Linked DNA regions of Mytilus edulis. Each later gene encodes a partner of the first gene's protein in a complex. Links are inferred from orthologs where the notes say so. Each region holds a gene or a part of one and is shown in the gene's direction. Other genes may lie near its edges. The genes, in order: protein lin-54 homolog, myb-related protein A-like and probable histone deacetylase 1-B.

Region 1 (11,099 bases):
TCATGTAGTAAGACTTTCTAAACAAATCCTTAGCAAGACATATAGGAACTTGACTTTTTACCCCTTTTTTTTTGTCAAGTTTCAAAAAATATTTCATAGAAACACAAGTTGTTTTATAAGGAAACCGTTTTTGTTGTATGGTCTTATAATAAACCCTCATTTCATAGGCTCTTTGGGAATTACCCCCACCCCCCTTTTTTCTATTTGATATATATCTTTGGTGAAATCGATTATCTACTAAGATAGTAATTATTATTTGATGCAGTACAATTATTATTCATAATATTTTGAATAAAAAAAATATATTAATTTTCTTTTCTTATAAATGACTTTATTATGCGCAGCTTCAGTATTGGGTAATTTTAACGCCAGTCTTTTAAACGTTCATGTAGGTTTGTGCATCAATAATAGTTTTAGTCCAGGAAAAGATGTGACGTTTAGGTGGTGCATAGATGAATATTATATCGATCATTTGTCATAATAGATGTACATAGTTTGATCTACTTTAATCGAGACTTCAATTTACTGACAAAAAAAATAAGAAAATTTTAATATTTAGCTGACTCTGTCGCCTATTACATTTTCTATATTCATATAATAGATAAAAAAGGAAAAAAAACTTGCCTCTTATTTTCTTATTCGTAAACATTGATAGACACGGACATTTAGATCCAAGGACCGAAACTATCAAGGCCGACAGGTGTAGAGACGAAACGGTTGAAAGCACGATGTTTCGGCCATGGTGCCTCTTCGCCTTGGTATTTTCGGTTATGGAACCAGTTTGGCATTGGTCGTTTTGGTCGTGTACCACTTCGGCTTTGCAATCAAGTAGATTCGACCATAAATTTTTTTATACTATAATTAAAGAGATTTTGTGGTTTTTACTCACACTTATCCTTTAAAATTACTTTATTATCCATTTATTGTAATGACGTTTTATCAACAGCATTTTTAAGGAGGTTTTGAAGATGTTTGTTTTATGAGAAACACGCATATGTCGATTTTTCGGTTTTTAATGCTTATTTTATATAGTTTGACGTTTCGATTGGAGAACCACTGATGAGTCTTCTGTATAGTAGTCTGACGTAGCAAATTATATTAGTGTCGCCGCAAATACGAATTTCTAATCCTGGTATCTATAAGAAGTTTATTTACAACCACTGGGTCGATATCACTCCTGGTGGATTTTTTATTCCCTGAGGGTATCACCAGCCCAGTAGTCAACACTTCTGACATGAATTATCATTTATATGGTCATAATTATAAATTTACTGTTTACTAATCTCCGATTTTTTTTAAATACTTATGCTTTTCTACCTCAGGAATACAAGAATAGATCACCTTAGCCGTATTCGGTATTTTTTTTTAGGAATTTTTTGTCCTCAATGCTATTCAACTTTGTATTTTATTTTGCTTTTTTAAACTTTTGATTCGAGCGTCACTGATGAGTCTTTTGTAGACGAATGCGCGTCTGGCGTATATACAGTTTTTAATCCTGGTATCTATGCAATTTGATTAAAATATAGATCTCTGATTTCTTTATAGAGATATATACATTTGTGTACTTTAATTGGATTGGTATCTATGATGAGTTTATTTAGATAAGTTATTATGGTGTAATACGTTCACAAAAAAATACCCAACGAAAAACCTAAAACTGTTAATGATGTCACCACGTTTGAAGTTTTCAGGACAATACATAAGTCAACTAGACCCTTCTAGCATCTGTGTTTCATTCGGGAGAATAACATATAAGCCAATTACTACATCTGACGAAGGTAATTGATGTTGTGATGTGCAATTTGGTTACAGGTTTCAGATACTAGTTGGGAGATCCGATTAAACCATATAAATTCAAGATAATTGTAATTTTGACAATCTTCTCAACAGAACATGCTTAGGAAATATAAAATAGATATACGACAAGAACAGCTTCAGCATTAGTTACAGTGGCGGATCCAGGGGAAGGGTTCCGGGGGTTGGAATCCCCCTTTTTTTACGATCAATGCATTTGAATGGGGACATATAGTTGGAACACCCCTTTGTCCTGGGTTGGGAACCCCCTTTTAAAATGGCTGGATCCGCCCCTGGGTTATTGTATCGCAGGGCCGTAACTACATTGAGGCAAATAAGGCATATGCCTCATGTTAGAACCCCTCCCCCCCCCAAAAAAAAACCAAAAAAGAAACAAAAGATTGTCTTCATATCAAATTGTTTTTCACGGAAAGTGTCTTTCAAGACGCAAGTTCTCTTCACTCTTTGATGTCGCCCCTGCATGTTTTTTTTTTTGTTATCCATGCATGTTTCTATTTTCCTGTGTCCCGGGTTTGTCTTTTGTTCATTTATTGTCTTACTTTATGACTATAGTCTGAGTGTTGATTTTCATTTGTAAACGTGGTTTTGCAATGTTGCATGTCCCTCGAATTCCAGACATTGTGCGAGAAAATATTTTTAGAATATATATACGATGCTACTGGACACAAAAAAATGGTCCTTTCTACATGGACAAATAATTGATATCAAAGAATACAAAATAGTTTTTTTGTAAATAAAACTAGATAGCTGACATGGTTTGAATTAAAGTAAGGTCACCTATTACCCGGTATCAAATAATTTGAAAAAATAACAACAAGGTATTGCCATATGTGATCTTTTACATTAAAGGGTTAAACTTGCATTAAGTCGTGTTGAGAAAATAAAGGAATATGGAGTACACTTTCAGAGGACCTAATCGCACACAAAGTCAATGCATAGAAAAAATACAAATGATTAATAGTCAAAGTTTTTGTTCCTGTTCTTCATCTATATAGTTGCTGGAGGGTCTTCAACAATACTTTGAGAGAATCATTAATACCGTAAAACAAGGTGAAGAATTGTTTCTAGTGTGAACTTAAGCAGAACTAGTACTTAAAGTATAATACTGCACTGTCACTATATTTAAATCTAGTCATAAATAAAATCACCAAAGTCTAAGCACAATACAAGAAAAGAACAGACAGACAGATCCGGTATTCAATAATTATGAGAATTACAATTTTTGCTTTATCCTACATATCGGTCTTTTAAACCAGACTAATGTTGTATCTAGAACCTTAAAGTCTTAAATTACAAAAAATACAATGAATCTATGTTTTTGCTTTGGGACCAGAATATTGTCGAAAAAAATAGCCAAAAACTAATTAAGCCGTTTCAATGCAAGGAAAGTCTAGGAAACGCTCAGAATGCACGATTTTGCGTTATTTTTCTCAGAGCTTCGCCAAAAAATTTTCGCCTTACTACGCTCAGCAAATATATTTTGCCTCACTATCAAAAGAGGATGGTTACGGCCCTGTATCGTATTAGTCTGTTTATGCATCAGGAATGGTTTTAGTCCAGGAAAAGATGTGACTCTTAGGAGGTCCATAGATTAAAGGGCAATCAATGAGACATGGGAAAATGTATATCCAATATCAAATTCAATAACTTCCTGTCTTTATTGGTTGAAAATGCATCAGTGTTCTCAATTTGTGATTTTCAGGTACTGACAATTGTAAATGACAAAATATGACGTGTTTGATATATCTTATTTGGGTTATGAAATACTCACAGTCCACTTTCAGCGTTGTATATGGAATTAAAATGCAGGGGTTTACATGTAAGATACTTCTAACCTACCTGAAAGTTTATGTAAATATCATATTATGTAGTCCGAACCTTGGTGATCATTATTTTGAACAATTAAACAAAGTTCTGGGACGTCTGCAAATTTCTAGGTTAAAAATAAATCTATCAAATGTAAAGTAATTGAAAAGAAAGTCGCATTGTAAGTGAGGATGATATTAACCCACATCTGAATACAGATGACTCAGTACAAAATCGGAAAACTCCAAATAATGTAAAGGAAGTTCAACATTTTCTGGACGAAGTTATGTAACCAGATCGTAAGTATATATAATGTTTCAGGGATGTTGCTTATTCAATACGCCAATTTACTTAAGACTAGACGTTAATCAGTTAAGTCAGTTTTATAAATATCAGTCAGCTTTTGAAAAAGTAAAAAGACGCTCCCACATGGTGACAGAACTCTTGACATGTTCGCTACAACTGAATCACGTTAGGCATTCGAGCCGTCCCTTCCCAGAATCAAAATAACAAAAAGAATATGATTGCTTATGGCTCAAGAAAAAAACCCAGTGGTAATTGATTCTTAGGCACTTGTCTCTGATTTTTTATATACTTTTATATAAGGTATAGCGATTTAGAAATCAGATGCAAGTGCCTGTGACATTAATCCATCAAGTTAGGCATTACTTATTTGGTTGAAAATGTGTGTTTAATACATACAGATTATGGGTAACGAAAAAGCTGGCTGTTTGGTGTGAGCCAATGCTCTCTATTTAAGGCCGTACTTTGACTATAAGTGTTTACTTTTAAAAATAATGATGGAGAGTTGTCTTATTAGCAATCATACTGCATCTTCTTATCTACGAACAAGCATGATCGTAAGATTTTTACTGAGATATATGTAAACGCCTGTGAGCAGAGATTATATTACTGCTTGGAAAAGGGAAGTAGTCCATTGAAAAATTTAAGTCATCACGTTTGTCATGACATATATATTCTAGTTTAAAGGAGTCTTTCTGGGTCGATATCGAGGAACTTATCAAGAAATGAATCAGACCTTTTACTTTTGGTAGTATCCCTAATCGAACGTTCACTGGGAAATATGAGATGTAACCACTCATTTAAAATAATGCGGTGTTTGTGTGAAAAACAATATCAATATACAATATGTATCTGAAAATGGAAACAAAAAGATTCTTGCAATATGCTCTTTTTGTCTTTGAGAGAGTTTTGTATGAATTCTGGTTGGAGATTACTAAAAATGCTTATACAAGTCCAAAATCGACACTGCATAGTCATGTTGTCTGATTCAGTCTACTGTTTCAAGATTTCAATCAGATGCGTTAAATGAGTTTCAGAGCGCAATTATTTGATTAAATGTATATAATCAGCTTATAAATACAACAGTCGAATCTTGAATGTAAAATCTCAATAAGATAGGCGAAAAATACCAAAGGGATATTCAAACTCATAGGCATGTTGAAAACTTTTTTTTTGGTCACGTTTTGTTTTTGATTTGGACTTATTGACAATAATATATTGACTATTATATATCAGTATAATATCCAGGCCCAGACTGACGAAAAGACAATATTCATTTACACAAACCACACTTACATTTAGTAGTGATGAAATTACTAAATACAAACAGGAATAAAACAGACAATGGTATAAATATATGCGCGGGAGTTGCTTTCGTGCCTTTCGTGAGGAAATTTAAAAAAGAAGAAAATAATTATTGACATCAAATATTAGTGTATTCTTAAATAGTTATGTGTGTCCATGTGCAGACATGTAACATTTTTACTTAAATTTAAACACCATTTTCTTCTTAAAAAAAAAAAACCAATCACAACTATAGTTTGCATGGTATTTCATAATGTCTAGCGATCTGCTAAAGTGCTCCGGCAAGTGCCTTAGTTATATTACTTAATGCAAATGAATACATTTCAACAATTTTTTTTTTAATTTATGTATCTTTCAAAAAGGTATTGCATTTACAGATCGGAAAGAAATGATATCATCTACATTTTTTTCCGTCACAAAAGTGTTGCCTATCTGTTTACGCATTTTAAACGGGGTTTATCAGAAGTCATTTTTCTATTAAATCCTCATTCAGATCAAATAAAAATATCGACTGTTTGATTTTGTAAATAATATTGAAAATTTAAAGGAAATTATATTTTTTTCAAACACATTTAAAAGTAAGTTCTTTTAAACAAATTTCCCGTCATTTCACTTATTCAAAACTAAATATTATCATAGCTTTACTTCAATCACCTTCGCGGAAATCAACACCGCAATGTATTATGGGATGGTAATGGTGGGCGCGTGATTTTGAACAAATACAGAATGCCTGCCCAGAGAACGGGTACGCTGCAAATAATCATAAGAACAAAAGAATAATAAGCGTGTTATCATGCAAAAACTGACTGTTTATCTATCTCCTCATATATAGAACGCCTGCCAAAATTCTAAAATAAGAGAACATGGCGATATTTTTTGTTCATACCCCTCTCAATAAGTTCGATTTTTCCACGTCTTCATGATCAAATACTAACTGCAGCCTCCCAGATAAACAGCAATACATAAAAGTAATTAAAACAAACATCAATGCATGTGTTTTAACAAAATTAGCTACTGTTGCGGTTGTATTTGACGGAATTAGGAAGTTGGATTTAGTTTCGTCATTTTAAATTTCCCTGCATTCATGTCGGGCAAATGGCGGGTTATTTGAGTTGTTCCTATGGAAAAATTTTCGTTTGACAGGAAAAAAGTGCTTATCATAGTTTTCTTTCAAATAACATTCATCATAAATATGTAAGAGCAAAAAAATCTGAGGCTGAACAGAAAACATGTTTAATTTCATGGAATGTGTTTCAACTAATTTTTTTAAATAACATTTATGTATATTAACTAAATGCATTAGTCATGTCAGTGATATTTCACTAGCAATGAGAGATGTACAAATGTATATATATATATAGCCTGAAAAAGCCTGAATATATTCCATGCAGTTGAGGTGCTCCGCTCAATGCTGGTCTATACACAGGAAATTTTACACAGACATTATAACTCATAAGTGTATGTATTTTATATTGACAATTTACACAAAAAAAAAGCCTGATTGAATATATCAAATAACTAATAGCCAGAAAAAAGAATTAAAATTGTTGTTTTCAATTTGTTTTCCCTGTATCACAGAGTTCGCGAAAATGGTCGGTCCTATCGGTCAAAATGAGGCTTGGACCAGTATTTTGAAAGCTAGTGCCGGTCCTGATGACCGATGTAAAAACAGCTGTTGTAGTTCCTTTTTTTATTGGTAATTCCTGTTTTAAACAAACTGAAACCTATGGACACCAAAGTGCTGATCTACACGTGGCCTGCTAAACTTGTTCTTGGCAAACAATAGGCGATTGAAATCGTAGATGGAGATAACAAATACTGAGAAAATGATTCAGTTGATGAAATAGATAGAGAAATGACTTTAATTAAGAACAATCAGAAGATCAGAACTCGTACTTCATTATTAATTTGTCCGTGGCTGTGAAAAATAAAACTAATAATAATAAAAGATATTTTTGGATAAAATATGTTATTATTTTTATTTTAGGATCAAATTGACAGATTTTTTAGGACTGGCTAAAATTTTGTAGGACTGACAAATAATCTTGCTTTGTCGGTCCCATGACCGACGGGTCAAACGAAGTTTTCGCGAACTCTGGTTACAAAAGGTATTCGATGCAGTCCAGTAAACTTGCACATCTAGGCTTAGATTGTATGCATTTCTTCTTTATTTTTTTATTAAAATTGCATCAGATAAACGTATATACACTTTTCGTATTTAGCTGAATTTTGTTTCTGAATGACCTTTGATCTGCTGAGAATAACTTAACTGTGACTAACTGTGACATTAATAAACAATTGCTTTCTAAATGTGATGTCAAAGTTTACAGGAACCTGTATCATTTTACATTATGGCGGTCAAATTTGTATACAAGTGCACGTGTAAATATGTATTCACTGAAAACTCTATTTTACTTATATTATCTCATATGTTTCAACTTTGGTACAAATGTATGTGCTTCATTCTGTTTTGAACAATGCAGGCTTTTGCAGAGTGATGGGGAATTCTGATTTAATTTTAAAGTTAATCAATAGGAGCACCACTTATATTGGTCAGGATGCATATACACCCTCTTCAAGCCTCTATGGAAAACACTGGAGGTCTTCTTTCATTATTTGTTCTTAACTGAAAACACAGCAGAAAAATACAATGTACCTATTCATGTTTTTTATATTTTATGATTGCAGGCATTGGTGTAGTAAACATTCATGAAAATGATCCATCTGCTCAGTCAATAGAAATAAATTCCAACAGCTTTTCTGGAAATACTATTTCAGTTGATTATAACCAGTTAAAAGGCCATGTGTTAAATCCATTAGACAATCTGGAAGGTACACTTGGAAATTTAGAGACCACAGAATCCAACTTAGGAAATGTTGATCAGGTTCTAGTGGATTCATCTGATTCTAATAATCATACTCAAATTCAGATTGTCAACTCAACAGCGGATAGTGGACATTCAGAAGGAACGTTAATAAGATTAAGTGATGGATCTGTTGTTAGTACATTGATAGACAATTCACAAATTGTAAGTGCTAGTAGTTTACCAACTACATCTTCTCAGGCTGTAAAAAGACAATTGAATGCTTCATCATCTAGTCCTATGGTAACTAAAGTTATAATTACAAAAAATCCCAACTCAAGTCAACCACAAGCTGTACCAATTCAGTTAAATCCATCATCTTTGCAGTCTTTACAACATGGACAGACATTAACGTTTAATCAATCAATGGCACCTGCTGTCAATGTGGTGCCGCAAAGTGCACAGACACCTACAAAGACCATTACAATTTCTCAGCAAGGAATTATGTCACCACAAAAACAATATTTTGCTTTGCCTGTAAGCTCACCAAAGCCTGGAATAACAAAAATTCCTATTTCTCCAGCAAAGACTCCTACAAAAATAACAATGATACCAGTGACTGTTGGCAAATCTCCGCAGAGGATAGCGCCCGCTTCAGGTGTATCTGTATTAAGTAAAAGTTTATCCGATAGTGCTACATATACAGCTGTTCCTGTGTCATCAGGACCTACAATGATTACATTATCACCTTCAAAAGTTTTTAAACAAGGCACAGTGGTACAAAATGTAAGTATTATAAAAGAGGGATAATTAGCAAAAACGTTTTTCAATGTTTACTGTAAGGGTTTATCATGTTTGATATAAAGATTTGACATTGATGTATGTCTTGACATATAAATTTGCTTACCAATACACGATAGTGAAAGAGAAAAATATAATTATTAGGTTGATAAAAGAATGTTAGTTAAAATGATTTTCTGTCAAATTTGAACCAGAATAATGTAATTAAAGACCTACTTGAAATTTTAATTTATTTTGGAATTTAGGATTATTGTTGTATTTACAGCCTCAAATAATTTAAGATGACTAATCATGAAATTTTAAATCAGGTTCAGCAGAGACCAGGACAGATACAATTCCAACCAAATCAGGCTATTACAATAAATAAACCTCAGACACAAGGTGGTGTACGACAAGTTGCCATACCCTTATCTAGCATGCAGAATATTCAAGGCAGCAAAGTTCAATATGTTAGACTGGTAGCTCCATCACAGCAAGGCCAAACTGCAGGTATGTTTGGACAATTTCATTTTTATGGCCCGCAACAAAGTTGTCGGTGCCATATAGTTTTACACTTGTCCGTCATTCCGCAACAAACAATTATATGGAGTTTTTTTCTAAACGCCTTATGATATTGGGATGATTTTTTGTATGTGAGTTACTTATGATGAGTTACAGATCAAATATAAGTTTCGTTCAGCTCGGCTGATTTTTGCTGTAATTTCGGGCTTTGGACTTTGATAAATTGTTGAAAATCACAGTTATACGGAACTTTTTTCTAAATGCTTTCAGATATTGGGCTGATTTTTGGTATGTGAGTTAACCATGATGAGTTACAGATCAAGGTTAAGTTTCGTTTCGCTCAGCTAATTTTTGCCAAAATTAAGGGTTTACAACTTTGAAAATTGTTGAAAATCACAGTTATATGGACATTTTTTATACGCCTCCAGATTGTGAACTGATTTTTGATATGTGAGACTACCATCATGATTGTGACCACATGCGTTATTGAAATTGCAGATTTTCCAACTTTTTGAGATTGGGCCATTCGTGTCGCTTTGACACATCTAGTTGTTCAAGACTTAGAGCCATGATTAAGTTTTTATCTTTTGCTACATATTTTGGTTTTCAATCCCAAATATAAGATTGTCATTCAGTCAATATGAAAAACAATGGTGATTAGGACAATGAAGTCTGATCCTTACTTTGCTGATTAAGTTTTTATCTTTTGCTACATATTTTGGTTTTCAATCCCAAATATAAGATTGTCATTCAATCAATATGAAAAACAATGGCGATTAGGACAATGAAGTCTCCTTGACCCTTACTTTGCTGTTCCTTAAACACTCTTGGGAATATATTGGTGTCTCAGATTGATCTGGATATGAGCTTTTGCAACCAAGATTGATATTGATTACATGATGTCATACAGGGTTTGATAAAGACTTTGCAACTGTGACTGTTATTTAAATAATCAAGGGTGGCTAGTACAGTGTAATTGCTATTGACTGTTTTACGCATACATTTACTTGCACTTACTACCAAACATATCGGGGCCGAGTGGTCTACTGTATTGCTAGCAAGTCAACACTGAGAATGTGAGTTGAATCTGGTTGAATCCTGCACAGTGTACATGCAGGTGCACTCAACTCCAATCTTAATTGACTAGGATTGTCAGTTTCTCTTCCGAAGATTGCTGGTTCACCACGAGTACTTAGGCTTCCTCCACCAATAAAAACCAAAATCCTGTCCTCCACAAAATAGCACAATAGTGTTGACAGTTGTGTTAAACACCAATTAATCAATCAATCAATACTAACTTATAAAACATTATAAACAAAGGCCATCCTTTTTCAAACCTCGTCACAAATTTTAATTGGATGACATGGAAGTACATTCCCAATATTCAATCCAGAAAAAATTGAATTGAATATGTGTTTGAAATATCGATTGAATTAAGATTTTTTTTGTGATACATTGAAACCACGATTAAACTTTCTGTCATGTTCTATTGATATGTTTCATTATAGGTATTAAGACATCTTTGGCATCATTAGTCCAAGGTAAACAGATTTTTACAACAAGTGGTGGACATCCTTTGACCATACAACAAGCAGGAGGACAACAGATGAAGATTACGTTACCAGTTCAAAGTAACCATCCAGTAAGTGTTCTCACTTTTAACTCGCCTGTGTCCGAACCATAAATATGTAAATAGCATTAATGTACAGTCATGACAGTATTTCTAATAACAAAAAGGTTTTTGATTTTTGAAAATTGTGTAAT
Region 2 (11,760 bases), on another chromosome or scaffold:
TAGGTTTCATCCATTTTATTAAATTTGTGGGCTAGAGAATACACAACACAAAAATACAAAACACATATTATTACCTTCTAAAGTAAGTGTGGCATTCTTTGATAAACCTTGAGGAACACAAGTACTGAATACTTCCTACAAAGACAGAAACAAACCATTATACAAAATTCTTCTTTTAAACTGAACATGTAGTGTCAATAGTACAACTTAACACCTAGGTAGCAAATCAAGTGAAGACAACTGAAATTTTAATAAACTTTACAAAATCTGATTTGGTGTCTTTTCACTCTTTTTTTTATTGATAACAAATATTTTTAGTCAAAGCCCAATTATAATGTATTTAATGTTTTTCATTCTTGTGAACAAGTACATGTAACCATTATATGTTGACTTATCAATATAGTATTTATTTTTACCTTGCATCTCTGTTTAATATCTTCCATATCTTCTTCTAAACATAAGGAAATATCCCAGAACTCAGCTGTTTGTATACCGGCAACTATATCACATCTATATAGATCACAATAGTCAGCTAAACATAACACATCCTCCCCCTGTCAACGAAATAAGAAGTTAATGTTTAGTCCTGCTGTGTCAAAGATGGATATAGTGAGCAGAAATTGTAATGTGCTATTTCACAAGGTAACAGTCATCAGAAGACATGTCATCCTACCAAGACACATTATTCACACTTCCAGCCCATGTGTCTTTGCTTTGACCAAGCTAGGGTTCAAACCCTCATCCTAATTGTAATGATCACGCTACCAGGAGACCACTGAGAACGTAAAAAGAAAATATGAAATATTTGTAATATTTATGTTATATATTCTATTTGGTAATTTTTGACACTCAAGCCACTCAATAGTTGCAGAATTGAATGTTATCAATGTGAAAGAAAATAGTTGTTGGCCAAATGTTAATGAAACAGCAACCAGGCAAACAACACCAGACACCATATTACATTCTTTCTCTAATTTCAGAATAAAAGTTGTGCTAAAATTTAAGCCTACAGCTATTAAGCTGATAAATAAATGTATTATGTTCAGTTACAGATCAATTTTGAACTTTGTGTTCTGGATGACTTACTTTTCACAGAATAATGAACACAAACCATCATACCACAGGCAGGGGGTATTGTATAGTCCAGACAAATATGTGTACATTTTCTTTTACCTTTTTTTTATATGAAGATTATATTGACAATGACAGTACATGGCCAGAGCCTGATCATGCTGATATTTAAATATAAATATACTGCAGTAAAAAGTTGTAATCTTTACCTGTCTAATGTATTCTTTATGTCTGTTGGTAAAGTGTAGATCTAAGTAATACTCAGCGATGAACCCTTTACCACAGATATTACAATACCACTTATTGGGTGGCTCATTATATTTTTGGTCCTCTTGGATGGCATAAATATCTCTCTCTTTGTTTAGGATACATGTATCTGGAATCTCTGCTTGGACAGATTTGTACAATGGATATATTTTCTAAAATACAATCAACATATTGATAAAACTCTACTGAAATTGCAATTCAAATATCATAAACTCAATGCATTACTTCATATTCAACATGTTTAAGAGTTGTCTTTGTCAATCAATAATTTTAGAAAGGAAAATACAACTATAATAGTCAATAAAACTGAAATGAATAATTCCTTTCGTTTTTACTTTAGAATTTTTTCAAATTTATTTCTCAATCTTATTTTATCTGATTGTCATTTAAATAAGAAGTGTACATGTATATCACACGTCCACTCCTGTCTTGAGCAGATGTCATTCACAGCAATATCTCTAGACGCAAATCATTGGTATTTTTAAAAAGCAATAATTCAGTAAAAATTAATAATAATCAGGATAATGTTGGTCCTTACATGAGATGCTGTTCAGAAATTTAATTAAAATAAAATAAAATAAAATGAAATTTATAATTATAATCATTCATATGTATATATTTAGATGCCAGAACATTTTTTTTCAAATGTCTACCTATATACTTACTTCAGTTATTACACGTCTAACAACCCTGGATCTCTCTCTAGAACATCCATCTATATAACCTATCACAGTAAACAGGGTCTAAAATTACAAAAATAAATTGAGTTTCAGTCTTCAAAACTATTTTTTGTCCTCTCATTATTTTAAGCTGTTCCTTGAACAAACTCAGGTTAATTTTGAATAGGAAATGTTACCATGTGCAAAATATATCAATCAACAAGAATATGTGGCTTGTCAGTGGTTGGTTTGGGGTTGTTTGGGGTGGTTGTCACAGATGTTTCTTGATTCTTGTTTTCTAAATAGATTTTCTTCTTTTTCATATATAGTCTGTTGACTCTCCAGTTGGAATTGTTTTGCATTAGTCATTTTGGGACCCTTTATCATGTTTATAGCTTACTGTTGGGTTTGAGCAAAGGCTACATGTTGAGAGCCTTTCTTTGATCTTTAATTGTTATCTTTTTATACATTGTGACTTACAGAGTTGTCTCAATGTAACTCATACCACATCTTCTTATTTATACTGTATTATTTAGGGACACCATGCCCTAGTCCAAATAGTGATGATGTCTTGAATGGCTTTTTTTTTATTGTTTTCTGTGACGCCTTCCTACGATGTATTCTAGATACTTTGGTCACACCCTTATTATTATGTATGCATGTAAATTTAAAATATCATAATAAATAAGTGTACAAGTGTACAGAGTTTTAATTTCATGTGACGAGAACTTCATGGTAAACTTTACTGCACAGGAACCAGTCTCTAGCTATATGTTTAACACTGTTGGGTTCAATTTTCAAACTTAATATCCAGTTATATTCATCTGCATAACAATACACTACAGTGGGACAGAGATATAATGGTGAAGACCTAAATTATGGAACTAAAGTGTTAAAACTTAAGTTGTAAAGTAAATCAGAGACAGAGGCAGATCTATCATTTAGGGTTTAAAAAAAAAGGGGGGGTGCCCAGTACCACTCATGGAACAACTTATATTGTTAATGCATAGACCTTTTACATGTTTTAATACAAGCGTTGACTAATATGTAACCCTTTCAAAATCCTGGATCCACATAAAATTTGTGTTTACAAAGACAAGAATTGAAGTAGTATGGCTCTTGGCTGTGGTAACCAGTCACCAGTGGTTCACTCGAGAGACATGGCAAGTCTGATTTGTGCTGTAAACAAAATTTAACATTAAGATTTCCCTATGAGTATGATAGTGAAAGAAAATCTTACAACATAAAACACCAGATACTCAGGTGATGTGTATTCCAACTTCATATTCACTCATTCTTCATGCTAGATTGAATAGATACAAAGCCTTCCGAAAGGTAGATTTACTGTATCTAAAAAATTATAAACATATGGTAACCAGTTGCTAGGCCATGCATATTGATGATACTGTTTATATGCATCGAATGCTTATAAGATCTTATAAATATAGTTTAAACAGTTAACTAGAGACATGTATGATCTACAAAAATGAAAAAAAGGATTTAGAATGCATTGGAAGGTTAATTACATTCTGAAAGTTCAACGAATAGTTAATTTTTATGATTTACATTTTGCTTTAAAACTTTTTTCGTGAAGTAGAAAATATAGTACCATTTTTCAACATATTATTTAATCTATATTGGGAGGAACAAATTTACATTTAATATGTCAACTCTTAACTTATTTTCCAATTCTAAAATAAAGACAGACAGACAGACAGAATATTTTATTATAGTGTCACATACCAATACTGAACAATATCATACATAATAATATAAGTATAAAAATACAAATAAGAATTTAAATCGAAGTTAAAATATCGGTATCCAGTCATGACTGACTTATGAGACACTTTTGCTTTAAAACTTATTCTAACATTCATTTACAAATGAATAAATAAAACTTTTACATCACATTTAAAGAAAAAAAACATTCCGTTATACACAATATTTTCTGCGGTTAAACATAAAATATAAAGATTTTGCTAAAAAGGGTTGTTCTAAAATAAAACAGTCATCTTTGTAAGGTGTATGGTGAGGGCCCTCATGGGGTTTTTGATTATGTGATTACTTGGCCGTTTGTTTAATGATTATTTGATTATTAAGCCAAATATTTCATGATTATTTGATTACCTAGGACTGTATTTTTAGTTTATGATTATTTGATTACTAAAGATAAGCAAATATTTAATGATTATGTGATTATATTGGCAAAAAAATGGTGATTATGTGATTACTAGGACCCCCCCATGAGGGGCCTCTATGGTATTATTTTCACAATAAAAGACTCTTTATACAATATGACAAGCCGTTGTGGAATTTATTCTCTATTTATTAAAAAAATAAATCGTTTCAATTTTGTTTATAGAAGAAATATCATTTGTTAATAGAAAAATTATTTTTCAATATACTAAAAAATATTTTTTCAATGAATAGTCCTTTTTTATATTATAAATAAGTTTGTATTTTTTTATTGATTAGAATCAGAGACATATTTATATGTCTCTGTTAGAATTAATATTATGAATTCAATCTTTAATTTTTAAATTCTATGGCAAGCCGTTTTGGAATTGATTACCTATTTATTCAATTAATAAATCATTTATTAGTAATACTTCATTCTTACTATACAAATCATCCCCAAGGGTGACTGGGGTATAGAAATATGGTCGCTTGGTCTTCTCCCGACCGGCAGTAAAACGCTTGCCGAAGAGGGGCGTCCGTTTGGCTGTGCGGGATGTATCAAGTTCGCAGTCACGTCCGGTCAGAAGGGGGACGTTAAATCCGATGCCTCGTGTAAAGAGAGTGCCACGCTCTTTGCACGTTAAGAACCCTTGCAACAACTCTTTGAGGGGTCCGTAGGTGGCCTGTTGCAAGGCAAAATTTCTATCCCTATCCAATATACCCTCCTTTTCCGGTGGCATTCCAAATTTCTCCAACCATCATCACAGATGGCCTCTATTGCATCAACCTACCTATTGTATTTATTGTGAACTTGTTCTCGTCCTGAATATGATACGAAATATATGTTTTCATTATTGACAACAGAGACATATAATGCAGACTGTACAATATATGATTACAATATTACTAATCTATTGTGTGAATACATGGCAACTCGGACAAAATTGCGATAATGTAGGACAGAAAGTCACAGGACAAAAAGTCATGGACAAAAAGTCACAAAACAAAAACAAAAACACAATTTTGTTTGAGATTATTATTCTTTGTTCAAAAACACTTATTTCAAAAATATTTTTTGGGTATTTTTCTTAAAAGTTTTATATATATAAAGCAACTATGTAATTAAAATTTATTCAATAAATATATAATGATAAAATAGTTGTTATGAAAACAAAATGTCAAAGTGGCTTGGTACCTAAATGGCTTCATTTTCTCAATATTCACATCCTTTGCTTGATTAAAATTTAATACGTTTTCATTTATCGAGGTTTATGAGAAATTTCCTTAACTTAAAAATAAAATATATGGGGGGGGGGGGTGTATGTAATTAAATGAAAATATTCAAAATATATCTAAAAAATTGTCAAAAAAATATTTGTGACTTTTTGTTCTATCAAGTTTGTGACTTTCTGTCCGTTTTCCTGATCCGATAGTAGTCTCATGAGAAATCGAAGACAGAGATAAGGTTGTCCTCATATCTAAAAATGAAGGTTCCTATTTTATTTTTAGAAATATTCATTGTCCAATCAAATTTCAGATATCATATCTGGATATTCCGACCGCGCAATTTAACCGCCATTGATGTCATTTCTTCAGCTGTTTTTTTTCCGTTTTTGTTTAGTTCTTGTGTTCTAGAAAGCATTTATTAACACTGTTTTTGTGACAACCAAGAATGGCAGTTCCGATGAATTTTTGGATGTTCAATCGGCATGCTTGAATGGCTGGAAGACAGGTAATTTCAACAAATTCAAACAGAAATATTTCATGTTGTCATTTTGCTTATGTTGTTTTCTCTTTCTTCCTTTTTTGCAACACATACATTTAATACATAATGATAGAACAAAAGAATGCAATTGGCATTGTACGCAAATCGGGGAAACAATGATAGAATAATGCGTCAACAGAAACAATAATAGAACAAAACATTTGACAGGTGCGACGTTGATTGATTACGTCACAATGTAAACAATCGCACGTGCCATTCACGTGGATTCTGTCAAAGATTTCCAGCGTTTAATATTTTAAGAGATTTATAATGAACTTTGTGTATAGATTGTCTCACTACCAAGGCATTCAAATATGGTAAATTATCACATTTATGATGCAAATTTCGTGGAAAACAGATGGAGAAAATATTGCTTTAAAATTTTTATTTAAAGGAAATATGCAGACTCATCTTTTATTCCAAGAGTTTCAGACTGTTTCATGTTTTCTTAGAAAAAATATGTTAGCCTTCAAACTGTTATCAACAAAAAGACTTTTAATTACAACATTACCACATTTTCTGTAATTAAATAAATTGTTTTTTTATAAATGAAAACTCACAGAAATGGGTGTTTGTCCTAAACTGACTATTTTTTAAAATGGTCAGTTTGTCATGAATGCATGTACAGTCTGAGCTATGAGACAAAAGCGAGTCCTCACTCAAAAATAGTCTCTTCTTCTTTAAGGTCAACAAGGCTTCAATACTGAAGAATACATGTTGTTGCGCATGCATGATTGACAAAAATTTATACAAAATTTATAAAAATATTTTATAACAATTGGAGTGTTTGTATTTACAGATTGTGATTAAAAATATATGTACATGTTTTGTTTGAATTTGTTTATTTAAAGCTAGAGAGAACCGCTGGTGTTAGTCGATCTCTAAAGCTGCCAACAGTGGTGGTTTCAATTACAGTTTGTGGTAGTAAATTCCATTGAATAATTGTTCGCAGGAAGTATGACCATTTGTATGTGTCCTTGGAAGTTTGGATGTGTCTATATGTCTTATGATTTTGTCTTGTTCTGCTGTCTGTTTGTTCACAAATATGCGATGGAATGGCTACTAGACAATGTATTACTTTATAAAATAAAATAAGTCTGGTTTTTAAGCGTCTCTCAGCTAGTGGTGGCCATTTCAACTGATTTAGCATGTTTGTGACACTGCTCGTGTAATCGTAGTTGTTGTGTACATAACGACTGTACCTTTTCTAATTGTATCTGTTGTTCTTTCATATGGGGGTCCCAGACACTACAACTATATTCCAGTTTGGGTCTTACTAGTCCTATCATTTCAACCAAAATCGATATTTTTTCAAAAAAATATTACCAAGTAACTGTATGAGCAATTTTTATAAAATAGATAACATAAGATGTAAAAATGTCTGAAATTTTATTGTTTATTTAGTCATAATTTTCTTGAGTTTTGTTTTCTTCATCTGATGTATTATACACAAATGCAAATTTTTACGATTTTAATTTGGTTAGAATTATAGCAAACTTTTCAAGAAATATCTTTCTTTGTGTTCATCTAGTCAGAAAATTAAAATGAGCATGAATAATATTATAACCAAATAAACAATAAAACTTCAGATATTTCTACATCTTTTGGTATCTATATTTAGAAAATAGCTCATATAGCATGTATAGTTACTTGGTAATAGTTTTTTGAAAAATATCGATTTTAGTTGAAATGATAGGTCTTTTTTTGACTGGGAACTCACTTTTGTCCAATGACTGTAGATGTGAACAAACATAAACATTTTTTTATTTTATCTCAATGCCCATTATTTATTTCCAAATTACTTGGAAATCTGTGGGATATACCTATTTTCAAAGTTTTGTCAATTTATGATGCCCCTTATGATGTCTACTTTGGGAAATCAATAATTTTGTGCTCTTTATATCCTTGTGTATTGTATTTTCACCTATTAAAATTTTGGTGTCTTCTGGCTATTCCTACATTTTGTATTTTACTATTCTGGCTATTCCTACATGGCGGATTAGTGGTAGAACAATACATGTTGTTATTGCAAGATATGTTGGTTTAGTCATTAGTGTCTAATCGGGTGAAAGGTAAATTTACCTGTTGAAATTAAATTTAAAAAAAAATTTAAATGTAAAATAATGGGATTTTTTTTGTTTGAAAACATGCATTAAGTTATAAAATTAATTATTTTAATCTTATGGAATTTGTAGAAAAAAAACTATTTAGAAGAAAAGGAAGTAAAAGCATTGGAAAAGAAAAGAAAAAGAAGTAAAAACATTTAAAAGTCTGTAAAAAACGTATTTAAAAAGAAAATTAATAGATACCCAAACTTTCAACTTCAGCCTCAAAAAATTTATTAATTTCATTATTTTAACAAATTATGATTTTTAAAAATGAACATAATATCAAAAGTAATGCTTAAAGTAATAAATCATTTTAGATAAGTGTACATTTTATATTGGCCTAATAGATTAAGTCAAGCCAATTAACTTTGAACTCTGATAAGCTTTTATTCGAGATCTATGTAACCAATTTAACATCCTACTTCAACCAGCCAAGATATTCCTCGACTACAAAATAGCCATCAGAAATGCAGCCACTTCAATCTTCCCAGGAATCAGCATAAAAGGGTGCCTTTTTCACTACACTCAGTGTATCTGGCGAAATGCACAGAAGCATGGTGTGCAGAGTGAATACAGTGAAAAGAGAGACATTCACCAACTTAATGTTCGTAGAGCTGCAGTTTAACCACCCAATACAATTGTAGATATTTGGTTTAATGCACTGGAATACATCGATGATTCAGATACTACTACACCAACACTTAACTTTTCTGACTATGTAACCAGCTACTGGGTAGAGAACAACCAAAGTCTGTGGAATCACTATGCAACAGAAGGTCATAGAACAACAAACCATTTAGAGGGTTAAATTTGCATAGTAAACTAAAAAAATAACTAAAAAAATAATTAGTAAATGCACCTCACCTAAACATCATCAGTATGATCAGGTTGTTGAGACAAGAAGAAGCCTTCAGTGCTCTCACATTGATATAGTACAGAGCTGGTGGGAAATGTATTCCAAGAAAGAGGAAGTAAAGGGAAATAGATGACAGACTCCAAACACTGAAAACAAGGTTACAGAATGATGAGCTTACTCCAGTCGAGTATGGAGATGTTGCTTCTCATCTCCTGCACATTGGTTAAGACTTTGTATTCTCTTATATGTTCAATTTATGAATTATGTGTAATGTATTACTGTGTGAGTGCTATGAATAATGTCAATTTAGTGTACTTTTGGTGCTTTGTTGAGTGTAACTCAAAATTAAGTGCTTTGATTCAAAGAATGATTTAACATTTATATTTCAATTGATATTATTTACTTGCACAAAATGTATATATTAATGTAAATAATTGCAATTACTTGTGTATACCATTATGCCTTTAAATTCCTATTGTGCTTTTGAATATTATTTACATAGACTGTGCTATGAAATTATTAAATGAAATAAAAGATTGTGATATAAATTATTCTTTTTCTTTATTTTACAGAAGAATTCCCTGGATTTACCTTGATTCATTAGATCTCATTAGTTTTAGTGTTGTTACAACATAATCCTACATAATCCCTTTGTTTTCATACAAATTCTGGGAACTCCTACATAAAATTTTACTATTTTACCTATAAAATTCAAAATGTAGGAATAGCCAGAATGAACCAAAATTTTCTCCGAATTACTCTCTTATATGTTTGAACATAGACATGGCTTCTATTTTGAGAGTCACTAGTATACATGTGCATAAAATAATTGTATCTGAAATATATTTCAATCTTTAATTTTTTTTTATATTTGAGTTCATTAGATAGATGGCACCTTTGTTGACAAAAACAAGTGTCTAGTGTTTTCGACCTACATGTATCTAAGAAACAGGTCCAAAGTCGGAAATGACATGTCGTACAAATCTGGAATTGGTTATAATTTGATGTCAAAGTTTATATCAAAGTGTTAGAGGCGATTAAACTTATGACTTAATGAATTAAGTGGTTATATAATATACAACTATAAGACATAAAATATTATTTTGATATCTTTTTTTGATTAGTTGTACACATTTTACTTGATGTACTTTGGAAGCCTTGTATGTCTAGGATCTTGTATACTTCATGTTTTTGATCAATATTTTAGTTAAGGAATTGTGAAGTGAGATTGGTGAGTATTGTCTGTAATTTCCACTGACAGACTGTTTTTTTCTGTTAGTAAAAATTAATTGATATTTCATTTTTTCAGTAAATAGCTGTAAGGATCATGCAAATTTGCATGTTAAAAATAACTATAAGTATTGCAACTAACCACATGACAGTCATGTGACTAAATGACCTTGATGTAAACTTCCCATGCAAAAGGACCTTTGCCATATTTTTAGAAATTTGTTTATTTTTATGCAGTTAAGCTGCATTATGCGAGCGCCCTAGATTTGTGTTCTACCCAATAAATGCTGAAATACTTGCCATTGTTATTATCTAGCTCGCTACTATGTTATATATAACTAATTGAACACTTTTTTAATACTTTTTATTCTGGATTACAAAAAATATGACCAGAAAAACCTTAAATGATCGTCGATTTATCCAAAAGTTTTGAAGTTACACATAGGAAGTAGTGCTTATTAAGAATCCTTGTGTAGTTCATTATGACTTGTGCTTTCAGCTAAGATGTCAAAGAACAATTGTATGAAATATTTAATCGCCGAAAATCTCTTAAGACAAGTAGTTTAGATTTCCCAAATGGCAAAAGTCGTAGTGATAATGTTTGTCATCAATACGTAGTACAATTACGTCAGTAGTCTATTATATAATAAGTTCAACTGTTCACGCTGTTGGCGGCAATTTCAAATTAGAAAAAGAAATTTTCGTAGCTTTTCAATTTGGAGGCAGGTGTGCAAATTAGCGGTGGTCCGAGGTCCGCGACCTTCCACTTTGCAAGCGGAATTTCGACTAGGATGGTTGGTTTCTAGCTACGCCCGACGTAGTCACCTTCCACTTGAAAGAAAATAAGAAATTACTTTGCAAACCTTCCATGCAAGTCACCAAAGTCTCCAATTAAACGAGCTAAAAACTTATTTTTATCATTATTATTCATGACAGCGATGTTTATTTTGTTCAACCGCTAGCTTTATACAGAAAATCGCCGACAAATATTGTTCGAATTCGTGTAAAATCGTATCTGATTGACAAAAACAACATTGTAAACACATAACAATGGCGGCCGTGAAGACAAAATTTTACAGTATCGGATCCGATTCCGGAAGCGGATAAGGATAATTCCGGGTTTGGCGATCATTTACAAAACAAATCAAAGCAGGTGAAAAAAAAAATCTATGCATGGTAAATGAATATAAACACTAGAATTGTAAACCAAAAGATATATGTAAAAGAAAGAAAAAGCAGAAAAATATTTTATACAGAAACTCAAAATTACTTTTTGACAAATTTTAATTTAAAAATCCAATACAACGTGGCAGCTGGGAACAGTATATCTAACAATATACATGTTCATGGTCACAGTCTAAATTTTCTTTATCAGTGATAAATGATGATAATGCATGTGAGATGCTTTTAAAGTGTAAACATATTACTGCAATTTCGAAGGGTTATTTGTTTTTCTCAATTTTGAAGGGTCAATTAAAGTAGCTGAAAGTTTCTTTATTTTAACAAATAATGCAACTATATTATATATACCTGAATGTAAGTAAATCATAAGATATATAGGTGGCATTCTTTGGGCCACTCTACCCCCTCCTGTTTGATAACTTGGAAACGGTCGAGTTCCCC
Region 3 (11,234 bases), on another chromosome or scaffold:
GGAGTCAATTTAAAGAAGTGGAATACAAACAGACACCAAGGTCAACAAGGAAAGCGATTTGAAACAAACAACAGTCTTTAAAACACTACTCGTAAAACTATTATCGGGATTAACTATATATACATAAACATTTTACTTAATTCCTTCTCACTCATCAGATTGTACTAAATATATCCCATTTTTAGTACCTTTATCGCAAATAAAGTAAGTTTTTTTTTTCTGATTACGAGCTTTTCCTTCATGTAGACGGCCAAAGGGATTAAATTGATGTTTAAATATGTATAATCCTTGACTAAGGAACATAATTATTTATTAGTGTGTCTGCCGTTGACTGCTATATCATAAAGCTGTTTAGTTGTGAGAGAAAAGCAAAGATCTTTTAAAACAGATATACACACAGCATACGTTTATAAGGCGATTGATCCGGGCTTCAATGTTGAAATTTTAAATTGTTTGGAATGTGACTAGTTGAAAATTAATAGTCGATCATCATTCAAGTTTGGTGTCTCGCTCTTGGTGTTGCCAGAGTGAGATATGTGTCTCATTCCATCTACGTAAAGCTTATTAGATCTTGTCTTGTGTTTTTTTTTTTAAATTTTGTTTGGTTGTTTGTTCATTGCCGTATATCCATACTCATCCTTTTATTAAGATGTCTCCATGTCTTTAAGTTTTTTTATTTTCTTTGGTTGTTGTCTCATTGCCGTATATCATACTTCTCTTTTATTAAGATGCCTCCATGTCTTGTGTTTTTTTATTTTGTTGGGTTGTTGTCTCATTACCGTATACCCATACCTATATCACTAATGGAAAGCTGAATACTAAAATTTATGATAAAAGGGATGATTTTTCATTTCCTATCGTTAATTATCCGTTTTTAGATGGTGACGTTCCCTTGTCACCATCTTACGGTGTTTATATATCTCAACTTGTACGATTCGCTCGTGTATGTAACAATGTTTTAGATTTTAACGAGAGAAATTTATGTATTACTGAAAATTATTACACCAGGGTTTTCGATATCACAAACTAGTCAAAACATTTACTAAATTTTATCATCGGTATAAAGACATCATTCGTAAATATAGCTCAACATGCAGACTTCTGATACGTTCAGGTATTTCACATCCAATTTTTTATGGAAATATTCTTTATAAAGAACAAAGGTGTCAGTATTCACCTCAGAAACTTACAAAACCTCTGAATAGACTTATTAAGAAGGGATATAATTACGATACTGTTGTCTAGTCATTAAAGATTGCATATTTTGGCGTTAATATTGAGTCACTGATAAGGTCTTTGCATCGGAACTAAACACATTTATTCTAAAAACAGTTATTGGCATGACACGGGTTATGTTCTTCTCATATATGTTATGATGGTATGATACTAAACCCCTAACGGGAAGAATTGTGCCTGATGTTCATATGATGAAATCATAATCTTTCAGTCAGTTTAATTGAAGTCTGGAGCTGGCATGTCAGTTAACTGCTAGTAGTCTGTTGTTATTTATGTATTATTGTCATTTTGTTTATTTTCTTTGGTTACATCTTCTGACATCAGACTCGGACTTCTCTTGAACTGAATTTTAATGTGCGTATTGTTATGCGTTTACTTTTCTACATTGGTTAGAGGTATAGGGGAGGGTTGAGATCTCACAAACATGTTTAACCCCGCCGCATTTTTGCGCCTGTCCCAAGTCAGGAGCCTCTGGCCTTTGTTAGTCTTGTATTATTTTAATTTTAGTTTCTTGTGTACAATTTGGAAATTAGTATGGCGTTCATTATCACTGTACTAGTATATATTTGTTAAGGGACCAGCTGAGGGACGCCTCCGGGTGCGGGAATTTCTCGCTACATTGAAGACCTGTTGGTGACCCTCTGCTGTTGTTTTTTATTTGGTCGGGTTGTTGTCTCTTTGACACATTCCCCATTTCCATTCTCAATTTTATTTTCCTTTTATTAAGATACCTCCATGTCTTGTAGTTTTTTTTTATTTTGTTTGGGTGTTATCTCATTGCCGTTTATCCATACTCTTCTTTTATAAAGATGCATTCATGTCTTGTGGGTTTTTTTTTTTAAATTTTGTTTGGTTGTTATCTCATTGTCGTATATCCATATTTGTCTTCTCCTTTTGTTAAGATGCCTCTATGTCTTGTAGTTTATATTTTGTTTGGTTGTTATCTCATTGCCGTATATCTATACTCCTCCTTTTATTAAGATGCCTCCATATCATGTGTTTTTTTTTATTTTGTTTGGTTGTTATCTCATTGCCGTATATCTATACTTCTCCTTTTATTAAGATGCCTCCATATCATGTGTTTTTTTTATTTTGTTTGGTTGTTATCTCATTGCCATATATCCATACTTCTCCTTTTATTAAGATGCCTCCATATCATGTGTTTTTTTTTATTTTGTTTGGTTGTTATCTCATTGCCGTATATCCATACTTCTCCTTTTATTAAGATGCCTCCATATCATGTGTTTTTTTTATTTTGTTTGGTTGTTATCTCATTGCCATATATCCAAACTTCTCCTTTTATTAAGATGCCTCCATGTCATGTGTTTTTTTATTTTGTTTGGTTGTTATCTCATTGCCGTATATCCATACTTCTCCTTTTATTAAGATGCCTCCATATCATGTGTTTTTTTTATTTTGTTTGGTTGTTATCTCATTGCCATATATCCAAACTTCTCCTTTTATTAAGATGCCTCCATGTCATGTGTTTTTTTATTTTGTTTGGTTGTTATCTCATTGCCGTATATCCATACTTCTCCTTTTAGTAAGATGCCTCCATGTCATGTGTTTTTTTATGTTGTTTGGTTGTTATCTCATTGTCGTATATCAATACTTCTCCTTTTATTTAGATGCCTCCATGCCTTGTAGTTTTTAACCGGATTTTTGTGACAAAAATGTCGGTTATTGATTTGGGGATGTACGGCGGGCGGTCGGGCGGTCGGGCGGGCGGCAAACAAATGTTGTCCGTGCATTTACTCATGAACCATTCATCCAAAGCTTTTAAAATTTTAATATGTTGTTACTGACAACAAAATGAAGGTGAAGTTCAAGAATGACGATTTTGACTTTTACCGTTCAGGAGTTATGGTTCTTGAAAGATTGAAAAATGGCGTTTCCAGTCGTGTCCGTGCATTTACGCATGAACTGTTCAACCAAAGCTTCCCAAATTTTAATATGTTGTTACTGATGAAAAAATGGAGGTCAAGTTCAAGAATGAGGATTTTGACTTTTACCGTTCAGGAGTTATGGTTCTTGAAAGATTGAAAAATGGCGTTTCCAGTCATGTCCGTGCATTTACTCATGAACTGTTCACCCAAAGCTTTTCAAATTTTAATATGTTGTTACTGATGACAAAATGGAGGTCAAGTTTAATAATGTCGATTTTGACTTTTACCGTTCAGGAGTTATGGTTCTTGTGATATTGCCAGGACACAAATAAATGAATAAATGTTAATCATATTGAAATCCGGTTTGCTGTCGTTGTGACAGCCTCTTGTTTTATTTTGTTTTGTTGTTATCTCATTGCCGTATATCTATACTTCTCCTTTTATTAAGATGCCTCCATATGCATGTCTTGTGGTTTTTTGTTTTGATGGCCGGTTGTTGTCTCATTGCCTTATATCCATACTTTTCCTTTTATTAAGATGTCTCCATGTCTTGTATTTTTTTATTTTTTTTTTGGTTGTTATTTCATTGCCGTATATCCATACTTATCCTTTTATTAAGATGCCTCCATATGCATGTCTTGTGGTTTTTTTGTTTTGATGGCCGGTTGTTGTCTCATTGCCGTATATCCATACTTCTCCTTTTACTAAGATGCCTCCATGTCTTGTATTTTTTTTTATTTTGTTGGGTTGTTATCTCATTGCCGTATATCCATACTTTTCCCTTTATTAAGATGCCTCCATGTCTTGTATTTTTTTTTGTTTTTTTTTTGTTGTTATCTCATTGCCGAATATTTATTCTTCTCCTTTTATTAAGATGTCTCCATGTCTTGTACATTTTTTATTGTTTGGTTGTTATCTCATTGCCGTATATGCATACTTCTCCTTTTATTAAGATGTCTCCATGTCTTTAAGTTTTTGTTATTTTGTTTGGTTGTTGCCTCTCATTGTCGTATATCATACTTCTCTTTTTATTAAGATGCCTCCATGTCTTGTGTTTTTTATTTTGTTGGGTTGTTGTCTAATTACCGTATACTCATACTTTTCCTTTTATTAAGATGCCTCCATATCTTGTATTTTTTTTATTTTTTTGGGGGGGGGTTGTTTTCTCATTGCCGTTTATTCATAATTCTCCTTTTATTAAGATGCCTCCGTGTCTTGTGTTTTTTTTGGTTTTTTTTTGATGGCCGGTTGTTGTCTCATTGCCGTATATCCATACTTTTCCTTTTATTAAGATGCCTCCATGTCTTGTAGTTTTTTTTATTTTAGTTGGTTATTATTTCATTGCCGTATATCCATACTTCTCCTTTTATTAAGATGCCGCCATGTCTTGTTGGTTTTTTTTTCATTTTGTTTGGTTGTTATCTCATTGCCGTTTATCCATACTTCTCCTTTTATTAAGATGCCTCGATGTCTTGTGGTTTTTTTTTATGGCCGGTTGTCTGTATCTCATTGCCGTATATTCATACTTCTCCTTTTATCAAGATGCTTCATTTAATTAAGTATGTCTGCAGTCATCACCGTTGACTAGTACCTAATCTTTCATTGGAAAAGACACTCTAGACAGTTATCACAAGTTACTTGACTTCTAAATAGGACTCAGTGGCGGATCCAGAAATTCAAGTTTCATAAGTGGGGGCCCACTGACTGACCTAATTAAGAGGGGGCCTGCTCGAGTGTCGCTTCAGTGATTCCCTATATAAGCAACACAGGCACTTGTTTCTATCCATACGAAGGTCGACTATCCATATAAATGGATAGTCGACCTTCGTATGGATAGAAACAAGTGCCTGTGATAAGCAACCGATTTTTTCCCCAAAAAGGGGGGCCCGGGCCCCCTGCCCCCCCCCCCTAAATCCGCATCTGGGACTGGTCGAACAAAAATATTACATCATGACACAATGTAATTCTTTTAAAATATTAAGAACTATTTAAAAGTAAGTTCAGTGGTCGAACGTTTTCAATACTGATAAAACTCAAGTTAAAACTTATCCCGATAAAATATATCCAAAAGAAACCATGTCATCATGAATTTCTACAATTCTAAGACTGTGACAAGTTAGTATACTGAGGGGGTGGACAGGGGTAAGGGAGACAGGGAGAAAGGGGGTAGGATAAAGGAGAAAGGGGGTGGGAGAAAGGAGAAAGTGGGTAGGAGAAAGGAGAGGAAGGCTGGGAGAAAGGAGAAAAAGTTGGAGAAAGGAGAAAAAATAAAATATCTCTCCTTTTAAAAAATGATCTAATATTTCAAGAAAAAATATCTCAAAAAGAGATGTTTTATTCTAATGGGAGAATGGAGAACGGGGGTAGGAGAAAGGAGAAGAGGGGTGGGAGAAGGGAGAAGGGTACCCCCCTGTCCTCCCCCTCTATACTCAGAGACATATAATACAATACTCGAGGGAAAGTTCCTGTTGAAAATTCTTAAGTATTTAGTCCTTTTGTTTTAATTTTAAATTCAATAAGGGGCTAAATTATTCTTAGATTTAATCAATTAATTAAAATGTTTTCGTGGATACTTTAAATATCTAGTTTCGGATTCGACAAAATTCCAATACAAGTTTATTTTAAAATTATTCCGGGAAGAACTATACTTGATTGTCGTTCGTTGTTAATAGAGGGCGCTGCAATTTAACATCGCTTGACTCGAACAATGGCCTCACAACACAGCAAGAAAAGAGTCTGTTATTATTACGATGGTATGTTCATAAACAATATTTTAGTTTTCGACCTCTCAAATATATCGATTGCTTCTTTAAGGGGACTGAAAGTGGTACTATACTCACTTAATAGGAAAAACTTTTGTTGGAAGCGTCCGTTCCCCTATGCAGGCCCCAAAAAGCCGCTCACGTTTGGATGTAAAAATCTGAAATTATGTATTGTTAAATCATTTTTTATGTTTATTTATGATGAAAGACATATTATATTTGTTCTGGTATTGTTTTGAATTAATTTATTGCAGAGAAACACTAATTATACAAAATCGCGCCTATTTCCTTTGAAAAACTATGGAAGCCCATTTTCCCATGCTCGGCGTACGAAAGTAACAATTTTTTTAAAACACTTTTATTTCAGTTAAAAATCGTTTTTGGCTGAATTATTTAAGGGAAAGAGCATTTTGCAACCCTTATGATATGAAACAAGCATTTTATTACTTTTATTATCAAAAGTTTTGAATTTGCTGATAGAACATTAAAATTCAATCTATGGAAGCCCATTTTTCTTTTATATTTTATGCTATAGTAGGGACCAAAGGACAAAGGATTGTGAAACTAAGATAAATAATGCAATGTCATTGTCTCCTCAAATTATTTTAGGGAAAGGGGTCTCATTTCAAATATGAATCTTCTATTTTTCTAACTCTTTGGTAGCTAATAATATGATTTTGACTATAAAATGAATTATTGTAAGGTGAAATTGAGGCTTGTTATTCAGACTAGAAATTTATAATAAAAAATTGAAATATAATTTAAATAGAATTTTGTTTATACATGTATTTCGTTAAAACTGTAAGACTAAAATAAATGATGAGGCTTTGAATAAGTAGATGACAGATACTAATTTTGTCAGAACTATGGACTTGTTTAATATGTCCAAAGTGATGAGTTGGCTTGCTGAACTTTTCACGAACAATTCTTTGTGAAAACCATGCTCTAGCTTTTTTTAATGTCCTGAATTTTGGATAACCAATCTAATATTCTTGTACAGCTATATTTCCATATTCAGTTTCTCACTTGAAATCATAATTGAATAATTAAATATTTCCATTGAATAGGAGACATTGGAAATTACTACTATGGCCAAGGTCATCCCATGAAGCCACACAGAATACGTATGACACACAACCTTATACTTAATTATGGACTTTATAGGAAGATGGAAATTTATGTAAGTACAAGTATAAATAATGTTGATCAATAAAATTTCTGCAGTCTCTACAAGTATAAATAATATTATATTCCAAACTTTTTTCCTTCAAAACGATCTTTATTATAAATAGTATTGTATTGTACACTACATTTATTTGACATACATTGTAGTTCATTAATATTTTGGTGGATGACATTGTGACCCACAATCTTCTCAGTTATTTTTCTAAGAGCATTGGTGCATTAATTGATGACTATGTAGTTTTTCATATTATTAAACAGAAAATGAAGAGACGCAGATCTAGAAAAGTTTTTTTATATAAATTATTATTTTTCAACAGAGACCACACAAAGCCACACAAGAAGAAATGACAAAGTTCCACAGTGATGACTACATCAAGTTTTTACGAAGTATAAGACCAGATAACATGTCGGACTACAACAAACAGATGCAGCGATGTAATAATATATAATGTTATTAACTTTATCTCTCTTTAGTAACATCTCTACAGTATAGCCTTTTGAAGCTAATACGGCAAAAATCAAACATCAATCAATTAAAAATCGTCTTTTAATTCAATGCTTAAAATAAGTTGTAACAGTTCAAGAGTTATGCCCCTTTACAGTAACAAATGGAAAAATTGTTGAATGTTTCGTTTCTGTTCTGATTTTTTACTTTAGTTTGTCTTAATCAAATGTTATGTAACTTATACCCAATGCTTTTTACAACAAAAATCAGATCAAGTACAAATTTGGGCAGTCACTTTTTACAGTTCTGGGATTCATATGTCCCTTTCGGACATTATATGCAAGTGGGGGCATCATCTGTGTCCCATTGTGTGACACATTCACCATTTATCCATCATGTCCATACTGGTTAAAGTTTTACTTTTAACAAATTAAATTTTAAATGACCAAGAATAACTAAAATTAAATACTATATGTGTGAATTACAAAGTTACTAAGTAAATTTAATCGTCTGAAAAAAGTGTCTACAGAATAGTTGCTCTCATTTCAGTACTTATTTTTTGTTGAAACATAAATTCAAAGCTGAACATTATTGAAGGCCATAGCAAATAACAGTCTGCACCAAAAACTTTTTCAACTACTAGTCCGAAGACCAATATTCTGACATTTTTCTTATTGGGCCAAACAAAGTTTTGCAAAAACTTACTAGTCCGAAATGAAATTTTACTAGTCTGGGGCATCGGACTAGTGGCTAACCGTGCAGACTGAAAGTTTTTATGAATACTTTGATAATACCGGTCAATTGTACTAATGTAAATAAATGTAAATTATAAGATCTATAAATCTTTTCAGTTAACGTTGGAGAAGATTGCCCTGTATTTGATGGAATGTATGAGTTCTGTCAGCTGTCAACTGGTGGCTCTGTTGGTTAGTATTAAATACTCTGACAAGTTAACGTTGGAGATGACTGCCCTGTTTTTGATTTGATGGAATGTATGAATTCTGTAGATTAGTATCACATATACTCTGACAAGAACAAATTTCTTGTTTTAACATTTTTGAAAATTATATTTTAGAAGTAATTATGCATATTCAAAGTACTAAAACCATTTTATCTGAGTGCAGTATAGTGAACCTGTACCATCAAATGTAGTACATTTATAAGGGTACTCTGGCATGTGGTGGCCTTTTTAGGACTTTCTAGCTATAGGAATGTGATATCTCAATAAACTAATATTGTAAATGGAAATTGTCTCCCCAGAATTTCAAATCGGAAAAATAACTATTTGTAATGAATTCCTAAATGTTATAGTTGAAACTTGCATGTATAGCATATATATTTTTTAAAGTATTCATAATTTTGAATTTAAGAATTTGAATTAAGGTCCCCTAATAAATATAAAGTTTAAATTGCTTTATATGAATTAGCACAATCAATCTGTTTATTATGATTGAATTCAGCCAATTGTAGTATATACAAATTTGACATGGTGTTATAAAATGTACACTACAAAACCTTTTTATGATTGTTAACAACTCTAACAGTCACTGACATATTTTTATTTTCTGAATACAGCTGGAGCAGTAAAATTAAACAAACAAGCAGCAGATATTGCTATTAACTGGGCTGGTGGACTTCATCATGCTAAGAAATCAGAAGCTTCAGGGTTCTGTTACGTCAATGATATCGTACTGGCTATCTTAGAACTACTGAAGTAAGTTTTGTCAAATATAACATCAAGTTATTATACCTTGTTATTCATTTTCCACAGATGATACAAGTTAAAGAGTTTCAATATTATAGCTGAGTGGACTTGGAAAAGGATTGATAAAAAAAGAAACAATAATGTTTTCATTTTCTTTTTGTCAATTTGAGGCAGTACAAGCTACAAAATATAAACCTTAATGCCATAATAAAACCTAACAATTTGTGCAAAATGGCAACCATAAATCTGCATTTTTTTTGGTGGAAAATATTCATAATGTTAACAAATGTAATGATAAAAAATTCTGAATATACAATTGAAATATAGTTAATCAGCAGATTAGAACCTTGTTGCGAATAACATTATTTTAAGAGCCACTGCAATACAGATTCATCATTTATCTTTCATGTTTACAGATATCACCAGCGTGTTCTGTATGTAGATATTGATATACATCATGGTGACGGTGTAGAAGAAGCATTTTATACAACAGATAGAGTTATGACTGTCTCATTCCACAAATACGGGGAATATTTCCCTGGTACTGGGGACCTGAGGGTGAGTACAGACAATGTTCTCGTATTTGGACTAAATGGACATGGCAAGCTGAATTTTTAACTTGTTAGCTAATAATGAATTACTTGCCACCACACTGGACACGTAAGTATGACCCAAGACTGTGTTCTTCATCTTTTAAAAATGCAATATGGAGTGCAAAGAATACCAATTAAAAAGTCGTTGTTGGCCCAGGCTAAGGATCAAAACCCTGGCACTTGAGGCAAGCATAAAACCAACAAGGAGGTTCTATTGTGAATTTGGATATGATCTGTTATAATATATCTACCCTTCATATATACATTAAAAAGCAAATTACTACATATAAAAAAGGAGTATTTTAATTATTTAAGTATATACATGTACATGTATTGTATTGATGTTTTGTCTGGATTGTTGTGTTGTCAAATATTTTTGTTAATCCATGTTATTTTATTTATGAATCGAGTGATTACTGTCGTAAATATCTTTGTAGGATATAGGTGCAGGGAAAGGTAAATATTATGCTGTAAACTTCCCACTGAGAGATGGTATAGATGACGATTCATACGAGTCTATATTTAAACCAGTAAGTATACTGAAGAATTTGTATATTTAGAACTATTTTGATACTTTATGTTATGGAGCTACTTTGAGCAGGATAACTTTTGCAATACTTGCTTAGCTTATCTTTATTACTGTAAGCATGTACACCTTAAAAAGATGATGGAGTCAACTAAACCTGCTAAATGGATGAAATAATAAGGATAATTTTTATGATAAAGTTAAATTGTAACAAATAGAGCTTAGATACACACCCTTTGTTCTGTTCTTCAAATCTTATTTTTGTCTTAAATTTATAAATTTAAAAAAATGTGTAACTATTCTGAATTTACCTTTAATTAATATAAACATTAATTACAGGTGATGACAAAAGTAATGGAGATGTACCAACCTAGTGCAATCGTACTGCAGTGTGGAGCTGATTCCCTGTCTGGTGATAGACTGGGATGTTTTAACCTTACACTGAAAGGTAAGCTTGTAAAATGTCATATTTGGGAGAGAAAAACTGATACCCGATATATCAGGCCAGCAAATGTTTAGTTGTTTAACTGTCTTAATTATGTTACTTGAATTTAATAAACATTTTAAAATCTTCAAAAAAAATTGATGTAGATAATAGTTGCGGTGATTGAGAGTATGGTTACAAACAAATGTTTGGTTTTGTTCGCTTGTGTTGATGGGTTTCCATCTCATTGATGTAGACCAAACTTGTTTTGTTATAAGTTTATTAATTAACAGTTTATGACTTTAAAATTAGCAGATGCTAAGATTGTGCCTTCTTTCTTTAGATGACCGAGTGTACAAAGCTAGTTGATAAATATTTATGTGCCAGTTTAAAAAAGTAGCCATGAATTGATTCTATGTATTTTGATTGACATGAACATATTGTAGGACATGGAAAGTGTGTAGAGTTTATG

The links.
Region 2: protein lin-54 homolog (region 1) and myb-related protein A-like share a complex: the UniProt entries of both Drosophila melanogaster proteins name them as parts of the DREAM complex. The link is inferred for Mytilus edulis from reciprocal best matches to the Drosophila melanogaster genes mip120 and Myb.
Region 3: protein lin-54 homolog (region 1) and probable histone deacetylase 1-B share a complex: the UniProt entries of both Drosophila melanogaster proteins name them as parts of the DREAM complex. The link is inferred for Mytilus edulis from reciprocal best matches to the Drosophila melanogaster genes mip120 and HDAC1.

Annotation. Positions count from the first base shown.
Region 1 is NC_092352.1:33,267,947-33,279,045, reverse strand, and holds the start of protein lin-54 homolog, read left to right. Parts: upstream 1-5,883; 5' UTR 5,884-5,955; coding exon 5,956-5,974; intron 5,975-7,917; coding exon 7,918-8,819; intron 8,820-9,142; coding exon 9,143-9,323; intron 9,324-10,843; coding exon 10,844-10,977; intron 10,978-11,099. UniProt on the Drosophila melanogaster protein: Component of the DREAM complex, a multiprotein complex that can both act as a transcription activator or repressor depending on the context. In follicle cells, the complex plays a central role in the site-specific DNA replication at the chorion loci.
Region 2 is NC_092350.1:20,929,134-20,940,893, forward strand, and holds the start of myb-related protein A-like, read left to right. Parts: upstream 1-6,135; 5' UTR 6,136-6,213; coding exon 6,214-6,260; intron 6,261-11,760. Other genes in the region: uncharacterized protein, read right to left, coding at 75-135, 417-554, 1,281-1,490, 2,004-2,081, 3,238-3,282. UniProt on the Drosophila melanogaster protein: DNA-binding protein that specifically recognizes the sequence 5'-YAAC[GT]G-3'. Component of the DREAM complex, a multiprotein complex that can both act as a transcription activator or repressor depending on the context.
Region 3 is NC_092344.1:100,940,937-100,952,170, forward strand, and holds the start of probable histone deacetylase 1-B, read left to right. Parts: upstream 1-5,731; 5' UTR 5,732-5,829; coding exon 5,830-5,875; intron 5,876-6,951; coding exon 6,952-7,064; intron 7,065-7,386; coding exon 7,387-7,504; intron 7,505-8,365; coding exon 8,366-8,440; intron 8,441-9,089; coding exon 9,090-9,228; intron 9,229-9,635; coding exon 9,636-9,777; intron 9,778-10,249; coding exon 10,250-10,342; intron 10,343-10,677; coding exon 10,678-10,786; intron 10,787-11,208; coding exon 11,209-11,234. UniProt on the Drosophila melanogaster protein: Catalyzes the deacetylation of lysine residues on the N-terminal part of the core histones (H2A, H2B, H3 and H4).